Linked DNA regions of Cricetulus griseus. The protein of the gene in region 1 binds, or shares a complex with, the protein of each later gene. Links are inferred from orthologs where the notes say so. Each region holds a gene or a part of one and is shown on either strand. Other genes may lie near its edges. The genes, in order: Ctnnd1 and Ctnna1.

Region 1 (3,808 bases):
TGTGGCAAGCACTGTTTCCATAGGGATACATCCTTAATACTACTGACCTCAAACCCTGTGTACTCATGGAAATTAACATTCTATGTTCCAGAGACTCTGTCTGCCAGAATTTTAGGCCTGATTTCAATGTTGAGGAAAGTGGTAACTTAACATTAAGGAATGCTATGGGTCTTTTATGAAGACTGACATGGGATTTCAGGACACAAACACCTTCTTGAAAGCCCTTTTTTTTCTGTTTGGAAAGAAAGATGTTTGTGTTTGAAAGAACAAAGGAAGGCCAGAAAATGAATTGTCTTGTGGGCTATGTTTCAGAACGGCCGGTTTATGGGCGATGCTGACCTTGAGAGACAGAAATTTTCAGATTTGAAACTCAACGGACCACAGGTAATTGTTTTGACTCAAGGTCTGTATGACTTCATATCTTTTTACTTCTTCAGTCTTTCTTTAATTTAGGAAAGTAAAAGGGTGCCTTCCAAATTATATAGTTTTGTTGATTTAAAAAAAAAATCAATGGCTTTTATCATGCTACTCCTGTCTCTTCATTTGATCCTCTGGTATTACAGTTTTTTTTTTTTTGTCGGGGAGAGGGGGCATAATTCTACGTTATAGAAAACCTTACCTAAAATCTTGACTGGGTAGTATCTGAAAGGTTCAGGCATTATGCTGGCCTGCCCCTGTTACCTGGTGGAACAGGCAGTACCCTGGTCAGCCCAAGGTTCCATGGGAACTAAGTTTGCACGCAGGTGCAGAGGACCCCTTTAAAAGATAAGTCCCTGCCCCCTTTACGTGCTCTGTGCTCTCTGTTCTCCCTCCCCCCCCCCCCCCCCCCCCCCCCCTCCCCCCGCTCTACTCTGTCTCCCACCTATGCTCTCGCTCTGTCTCTCTATGGCGACCGGCCGTGGCGGTCAGCCATTTACCCTGTTCCTCTTCTTAGTCTCCCCATTCTGCCGGGCCTTATAATAAACTTATAGCCTTATGTCTCATGTCTCAGCATTTCTCTTTTCTTCTTTTTAAACAAAGGAATAACAGTATCTGATGAATAACATGAAACTCTTGCTGGGCCTGGTGTATTAGTTTAGTTTTATTTTTATTTTTCGAGACAGAGTTTCTCTGTGGCTTTGGAGGCTGTCCTGGAACTAGCTCTTATAGACCAGGCTGGTCTGGAACTCACAGAGATCCGCCTGCCTCTGCCTCCCTTGAGTGCTGGGATTAAAGGTGTGTACCACCAACGCCCAGCTAGTTTTTTTTTTTTTTTAAATCTTGAAAGATTTTTATTCTTGAAGCATTACTCAGATGTCGAGGTAACAGTTAACACAGTTTATATTCAAGTAGGTGACCAGAATGGGAAGATAAATCTGCTGTTTTTGCCACTAGAATGCCAGCGTGGTTTTAGTTACCTCTTTGGTTTTTTGGGATAGGGTTTCTCTGTGAATCCTGGCTGTCCTGAAACTTGTTCTGTAGACCAGGCTGGCCTCTAACTCACAAGAAAACTGCCTGCCTCTGCCTCCCTTGAGTGCTAGGATTAAAGGCGTGTGCCACCAATGCCTAGCCTAGACCTGTTTTTATATCAGGGAAATTCTATTTACTGTCCTTTACACAAGTTATTTATTTATTGAGATAGTCTCTCACTAGGTAGTCCTGGCTGGCTTTGAATTTGCAATTTAAATTAGGCTAGCCTGGAATGCTCAAATATGTCTGCCTCTTGAGTTCTGGGAATGAAGGTGTGCACTACCATGCCCTGCCATTTTACAAGTTTAAAAGATGACAACCACTCTTGCTAAAACTGAGGCTAGTTGGATTTGCCTGAAGACTTCTTGTCTCTAGAGGCATTAATGTTTCTTATTAGGATGGATCATTACTGCATAGTTCTAGTTGTGGCTTTACTCTTTTTCTCTCTCATAGGATCACAACCACCTTCTGTATAGCACTATCCCCAGGATGCAGGAGCCAGGGCAGATTGTGGAAACCTACACAGAGGAGGACCCTGAAGGAGCCATGTCTGTTGTTTCTGTGGAGACCTCAGATGATGGGACCACTAGGCGTACAGAGACCACAGTGAGCTGAAATTTTCATGTCTTAGAGTGATAGGTCCTCTGTGATCTTTTAGTAATGAGGTTAACCAGGTAGATGGGTGCAGGTCACTGATTGCCAGAAAGAAAATGATCACTGGGCAAACAGAAAAGGTAAAACAAATGTAGGAAAATGTAATGGAAGGGGGAAGAGAAGGGAGTATGACAACTATAATAGTTGCCCAAGAGTCTGTTACTGACAGGAGAGTTTTCTCACTTAAGGGCTTTTGTGGGATGGAAAAAAGGTATTGATAACACACATGAGACATTTCTAGGTAAAGATCTAGAAGGTAGGGTTTCTTTTTTTTCTTAGAGTAGTGTGGAATTTAAACTTAGATTCTTCATTTCCTTCAATAATTGCTTTTCATTTTCTCATTCATTCCTTAACTGAAGGTCAAGAAAGTTGTGAAGACAGTGACAACACGGACAGTACAGCCAGTCCCCATGGGACCAGATGGACTGCCTGTGGATGCCTCATCGGTCTCCAACAACTATATCCAGACTTTGGGCCGTGATTTTCGCAAGAATGGCAATGGGGGCCCTGGTCCCTATGTAGGGCAGGCAGGCACTGCGACCCTTCCTAGGAACTTCCACTATCCTCCAGATGGATATGGCCGACACTATGAAGATGGTTATCCAGGTGGCAGTGACAACTATGGCAGTTTGTCCCGGGTGACCCGAATTGAGGAGCGGTATAGACCCAGCATGGAAGGCTACCGGGCACCAAGTAGACAAGATGTCTATGGTCCCCAGCCCCAGGTTCGAGTAGGTGGGAGCAGTGTGGATCTACATCGATTTCATCCAGAGCCTTATGGGCTAGAGGATGACCAGCGCAGCATGGGCTATGATGACCTAGATTATGGCATGATGTCCGATTATGGCACTGCTCGTCGGACAGGAACACCTTCGGATCCTCGACGACGCCTCAGGTGGGCAGGAATAGGGGAAGAAAGACTTTCCAGATGGGAAAGGCATAGAATTATCTTCTAAGCTTTTTGGGGTCAGTGACACCTTTGGATACTGGTTCCTTTCTCTTTTTCATAGAAGGCTCACTGAATGTTGATTTGCTCTCTTTTTCTTTCTTGTTATTAGAGTCATATTTTAGTTATACTAAGAGATTTTTTTGTTTGTTTGCTACTGCTTTTTTGAGATGTCTAAGTGGCTCGGGCTATCTACCAGTCTGGCTAATGTAGTAGAAGATGACCTTGGACTCTTGATCCTCCTTCCTCTACTTGTAAGTCTTTGGATTACAAGTGTGTGTCACCACAGTTGGTGAGAAAGTGATTTGTGGCCAGGTGTGATGACTTAACGCTTGTAATTCTGCTGCTGAGGAGGCTGAGGCATATGATTGCATTTAAGTTTGAGATTGCTTTGGACAATTTACTATATGAACATTTCTGTATCCCCAAAGTGATTAGTGATGGTTACTGGTCTATGTCCTAAAGACAGAAGAGACTTGGTTGCTATGCCATAATTTCTGCCTAAGATTTGGCTCCCTTTTGGTGAAAGAGAAAGGAGCATTACAGAGAGTGTGAGTGTTCACATTCTGGTTCCTGAGAGCTTTTTTTTGGGGGGGGGGTTTCCAGACAGGGTTTCTCTTTGTAGTTTTGGAGCCTATCCTGGCACTCGCTCTGGAGACCAGGCTGGCCTTGAACTCACAGAGATCTGCCTGCCTCTGCCTCCCGAGTGCTGGGATTAAAGGCATGCGCCACCAACGCCCGGCTTCCTGAGAGCTTTTT
Region 2 (4,532 bases), on another chromosome or scaffold:
GGATTAAAAGGCTGTGCCTCCTTGCTTGTTAAAGTCAACTCCGTGGTGGTGCATGCCTTTAATCCCAGCACTTGGAAGGTAGAGGCAGGTGGATCTCTGAGCTGGAGGCCAGCCTGGTCTATAAAGCTACACAGAGAAGCCCTGTCTCGAAAAGCCAAAAAAAAAAAAAAAAAAAAAAAAAAAAAAAAAAGAGAGAGAAAGAAAAGAAAACATTTAATGGAGATCCAATTTCCAATTACCTTTCTAGAGGTTTAGTCCATGGTGGGAAGCATGGCAGCATTCAGGCAGAAGGATCTGAGAGTTCTTATATCTTGATCAGCAGGCAACAGGAAGGAGTCTGTGTCCTGGGGTTAGGTTGAATATAGGAGACCTGAAAGTCCCCCCCCCCCAGTGACACATTCTCTCCAATGGGGCAACGAACCCACACCCAGTAGTGCTCTTTGGGGGGCCACTATCTTTCAAACCACCAGAGTCAAAACCCCCAAACTAGAAACAAAAAGCATGTAATTGGACAAGAATGGCCTTTTTTGTTTGTAGTGCTGAAGACTGAACCCAGGGCATAGTAGGCATCTCCAAACCACTTTTCCTAGAATTAAAATTTATTACTTTGTGTGGGTGAATATGCCACCTGCACCAGGGTGGAAGTCAGAGGTCAACTCTGTGGCCTTCATACTCTTAGTACGTCATTGTTGGTAGAGGGCAAACATTTTTACCCACTGATCATCTCTCTCATCTGCCCACTCTTTAAGAGGCCCCAAACCAAGTGTAATGGTGCAGGCCTATAATCTCAGCAGCTGGGAGGTGAGCAGGAGAATCAAGAGTTTAAGGCAAGTTGGCACTGGCCACCCAGCCCTGCAACCTGAGTTCAATCCCCAGGACCCACATGGTGAGAGAAAACCACAGATTATCCTGATTTGTACACAAGCACAAGCTTTGTGCCGCCCCTCGGCCCAAATGCAAAAAAAAAAAAAAGTTTATTCTTGCCGACATAGCCAGTTCAAGACCAGTTTGACCTACGTGAGAACCTACCTCAAAAATAAAACTAAACAAACACCAAAAAACAAAAAAAAAACCCGAAACAAAACAAAACAAAAAACCGTTCTGAGAATCGGATTCCCGTTCCACTGTGCCGGGAGATGTGGAACGTTTACTTGGAGTTGTTTCTCTTCGGGTAAAGCAAGGAGTAGGCTGCCCCCTTTTCTGGGCGCCTTGGACCAGGGGACAAGATGACATTCGCCACAGGAGTGAGACCAGCAGGACCCCGCGGCGTCACGCTGGTCCCGGGACGTCGGACGGGGCGGGGCCTTCCGGGGCCGCGCCCCGAGACTCACCTGAGTTGGGAGCGGTGACTCACCTGCCCTCCGCCCGCCTTCCCCGGCTGCGGGCTGTTCCGTGAGTCGCCGCCCCTCCTTCCCGTCGGGGGTCAGGCTGTGCGCGCCCCGAGGCCGAACGAAAGGGACTTCTGGGGGTCCCAGCCTGGAGTTGCCAGGCTACCATCCCGGAGGGAGGCTCTTCCCCGAAAGCGCCCGCCGCCGCAGGCCGGGACGAGCGGTGTGGAGGCCGCGGGAGGCGCTGGGAAGAGCGCGCGGAGGGAGGTGCCGGGAAGGGCGGGCGGGCGCGGCGCGGGGCGGGCCGGGGGCGGGAGCGCAGGGCGGCCCATTTCCTCCTGGGAGCCGGACGGGCGGGAGACAAAGCGGCGGCCGTCGGCTTGGCGCCTCAGGAGTCGTCCTGCGTTCTCCTCGCTCGCCGCAGGTAAATCTTTGTGCCTCCCCTCGGGGCGCGCGCGGGGCCCCTGGTGGGCCGAGGGTCTCCGCTGGCCGGGGTCCGGGTGACGGCGCAGGCAGGCTCTGGGCGGCCTCCGCCCTGGGGAGCGTCGGGCCAGGGCGGCTTCCCGGAGCAGCCTGGGCCTGGGCGGGCGGAGCCCGACGCTCGGGAAGCGGAGCTACCGCCGCGGCGCCTTCTCGGAAAACTTTCTCCCTCTTTCTAAACTTTGTTCCCCGAGCAGGGCGCGCGCTCGCGGGACGGGCGTCGCGCCTCGGGCCGCCTCCCCCGCTGAGAGGCGACCTCGGAGTGTCTCTGGCGTTCCGGCGGTGGGGTGTTTTAAGGGTCGCGATTGTTCCCTGGATTTGTGCCGGCCGCGCCCCTCCCCCCTTTCTCCCCCTCGCTGAAAGTTGGGCGTTTGCGGGGGCCAGAGGTCGGGGGAGCTGGCATTCCAGTCCGACCCACGGAGTGTGAGAGCCGTAGCTTCCTGCTCTCCAGGGCTCTTGTCCTTTAAGGTGCGCCACACCCGTGTGAACCTGTGGCAAGAAGTTGTTAATCTTTACTTTAAAATTACTCATCCGCGTTCTCTGCCTGACTGGACTGACTTTACACCCAGTTTTCAGGAGTGGCGTTAGGGTCTTGTTACTGACCTTGTGCTACCGAGGGCTGGTCTTGCTAAGTAGCCCAGGATGGCCTGGAACACTCGGGCTCCCTGCCTTAGCTTCCCGAGGGCGGACATTGCAAGCCTGCGATGTCAATGCCCCGCCTTCCTTTAAAAGGAACTTGTTAATGTGTGTAGAACTTGGAGGAAAAATGTTGACTGGATGGGTAGCCTTGGATTGCAAGCAGTGGCCATCCCAGTAATTCAGTTAGCAGTTGGCTCAAATTGACGGTTGATACCCTCTTAAGTTCTTCGTCTTCATAACATTTTTTGTGTGTTTTGTATAGAATGCACAATAATTTATAATGTAAACTCATGCATACATCACTGTATTGTGTATGTGTATTGTATCTTTATGATAGGTGTTTTTGAAAAGGATATTTTGTGTTTAACTGATTCTTAAAGACTACAGGTGGTTGTTACTTTAAGAAACGGAGTTTGTTTTAGTTTACAAAAGGATTGAGCGGGGAAATCATTCGTAGCCTCTGCTCAATTGTTTATACGTCCTGATTCAACTAAGTCAGAAAATAGGTTTTAAAATTACTCTTTGTTTGAGGATCAGAAGTTTCTCTAGTGTCGTATCCTTTTTTTTTTTTTTCCCCTCAGACTGGCTCTCACTATGAAATCCACGCTAGCTTAAGCTTCTTGATTGTTGGGATTCAGACGTGTTCCATACGTAACACCTGTCTGGGTCAAATTTGTGTATAATGCAAACAACAGAAATTCACAGATGCTTGGAGTGTTAATACGTTTATAAGTCTGGGAGTCCTGGAAGGTGGTGGCTTTTGAATTGGGTGAAGCACGAGTTGAAGTCACGTGGCAGGAGAAAGTAGGGGAAAGGCATAAAAGGGCATGTAAGTGTGGGGAATCTGATGTTCTGTTTTTTGTTTTTTTTTTTCTTTAGTTTTCACTCCCTCCCTTTCCTGCATGTAATCTATCCTGAGAACATTGGTTTTCAGCACCAGTTATATAGTACCACCTCCATTCCCATCAGAAACATTTTATATATTGGTTAGAGATGAGGGGTGTCTTTTTTCCTAGTTGAGAATCACTGCCTTGTGCCTTCTCTCATCAACCCCCCTTTCTGCCCTCTGTGGTGTTGGGGAAACAAACCTAGAGCCTTGTATATGCTAGTCAAATAATGTACCATGAGCTGTACAACCCCCCTTACCTCTGCCATCAACCTTAGCTGCTAACGTCCCGCTCCTTTTTTTGGGTTTAGGTGTCTCTCTTGAGCCACATGGGTCTCCTTGTATATCCCACGGCTTCTCAAACCATATCTGATGTGAGACTTAATTCTGTTTTGGAGATCTCAACCAGATGTGGAGAGCCAGAGTAACTGGTACGAATGGTCTTGAATTCTTTTAAAGTCACATTACTGACAGCACAGATAGCCCTGCTTGTTGAAGGTGGTGATAGTTAAGTGTACTGGCTAAAACCTAGACCAGAATAAAGGAATAGGGTCCTTAACAGATGTATATAGCCTGAGCATTGGCACAGTATTTGGAGGACTAGAGGTGTAGAGATGATCTTTGTATTATGAGTACTGAAATAGGGAGGTTTAATAAGGTGGTCAGGGAAGGCAAAGGCCAGGTCACAGATGGCTGTGTGTAGATTTTATTCTAAAGCTGTAAGAAGCCATTCTAGGGCCTTCCATGATCTGAGCAGCTTTTTATTTTTTGTTGGTGCTCAGAGATTTGAATTCTTTCGTGTCTAAAAGCAGGGAGTTGACTGAGGAAGGTAATGTGGATAAAGGTGATCAGGATGAATGGAGTTGTATTTTGGAAAAGGGGGTAAAGATTGGTTTGGTGATGGGGTGTAGGCCTCTTGATAAAGTTTTTTTTTTAAGCATTGAACTCTCAGTTATGTCTCAAGATCTAGTGTAGCACGAATTCTAGCAGTCAGCTATCAGGCTGAAAGCTGAAAGATCACAGCAGCAGAGCAGCCTGCCCCTAGAGAGTTCTCACCTCCACCAGTGCTCAGACTGCATCCTCAGACTGCTGCATGCTGCAGACTGCTGCTGCCTCACGCTGCCATGAGCTCCTGTCTCCTTCTGCCTTATATTCCTCTCTGACCAGCCATACCCTTTCTGTCTCTACCTCCTTAGTGC

The links.
Region 2: Ctnnd1 (region 1) and Ctnna1 share a complex: the UniProt entries of both Homo sapiens proteins name them as parts of the cadherin:catenin adhesion complex. The link is inferred for Cricetulus griseus from reciprocal best matches to the Homo sapiens genes CTNND1 and CTNNA1.

Annotation. Positions count from the first base shown.
Region 1 is NC_048599.1:90,912,250-90,916,057, forward strand, and holds part of Ctnnd1 (catenin delta-1), read left to right. Parts: intron 1-312; coding exon 313-384; intron 385-1,902; coding exon 1,903-2,055; intron 2,056-2,462; coding exon 2,463-2,998; intron 2,999-3,808. UniProt on the Homo sapiens protein: Key regulator of cell-cell adhesion that associates with and regulates the cell adhesion properties of both C-, E- and N-cadherins, being critical for their surface stability.
Region 2 is NC_048595.1:202,375,226-202,379,757, reverse strand, and holds the start of Ctnna1 (catenin alpha-1), read left to right. Parts: upstream 1-1,603; 5' UTR 1,604-1,752; intron 1,753-4,532. UniProt on the Homo sapiens protein: Associates with the cytoplasmic domain of a variety of cadherins. The association of catenins to cadherins produces a complex which is linked to the actin filament network, and which seems to be of primary importance for cadherins cell-adhesion properties.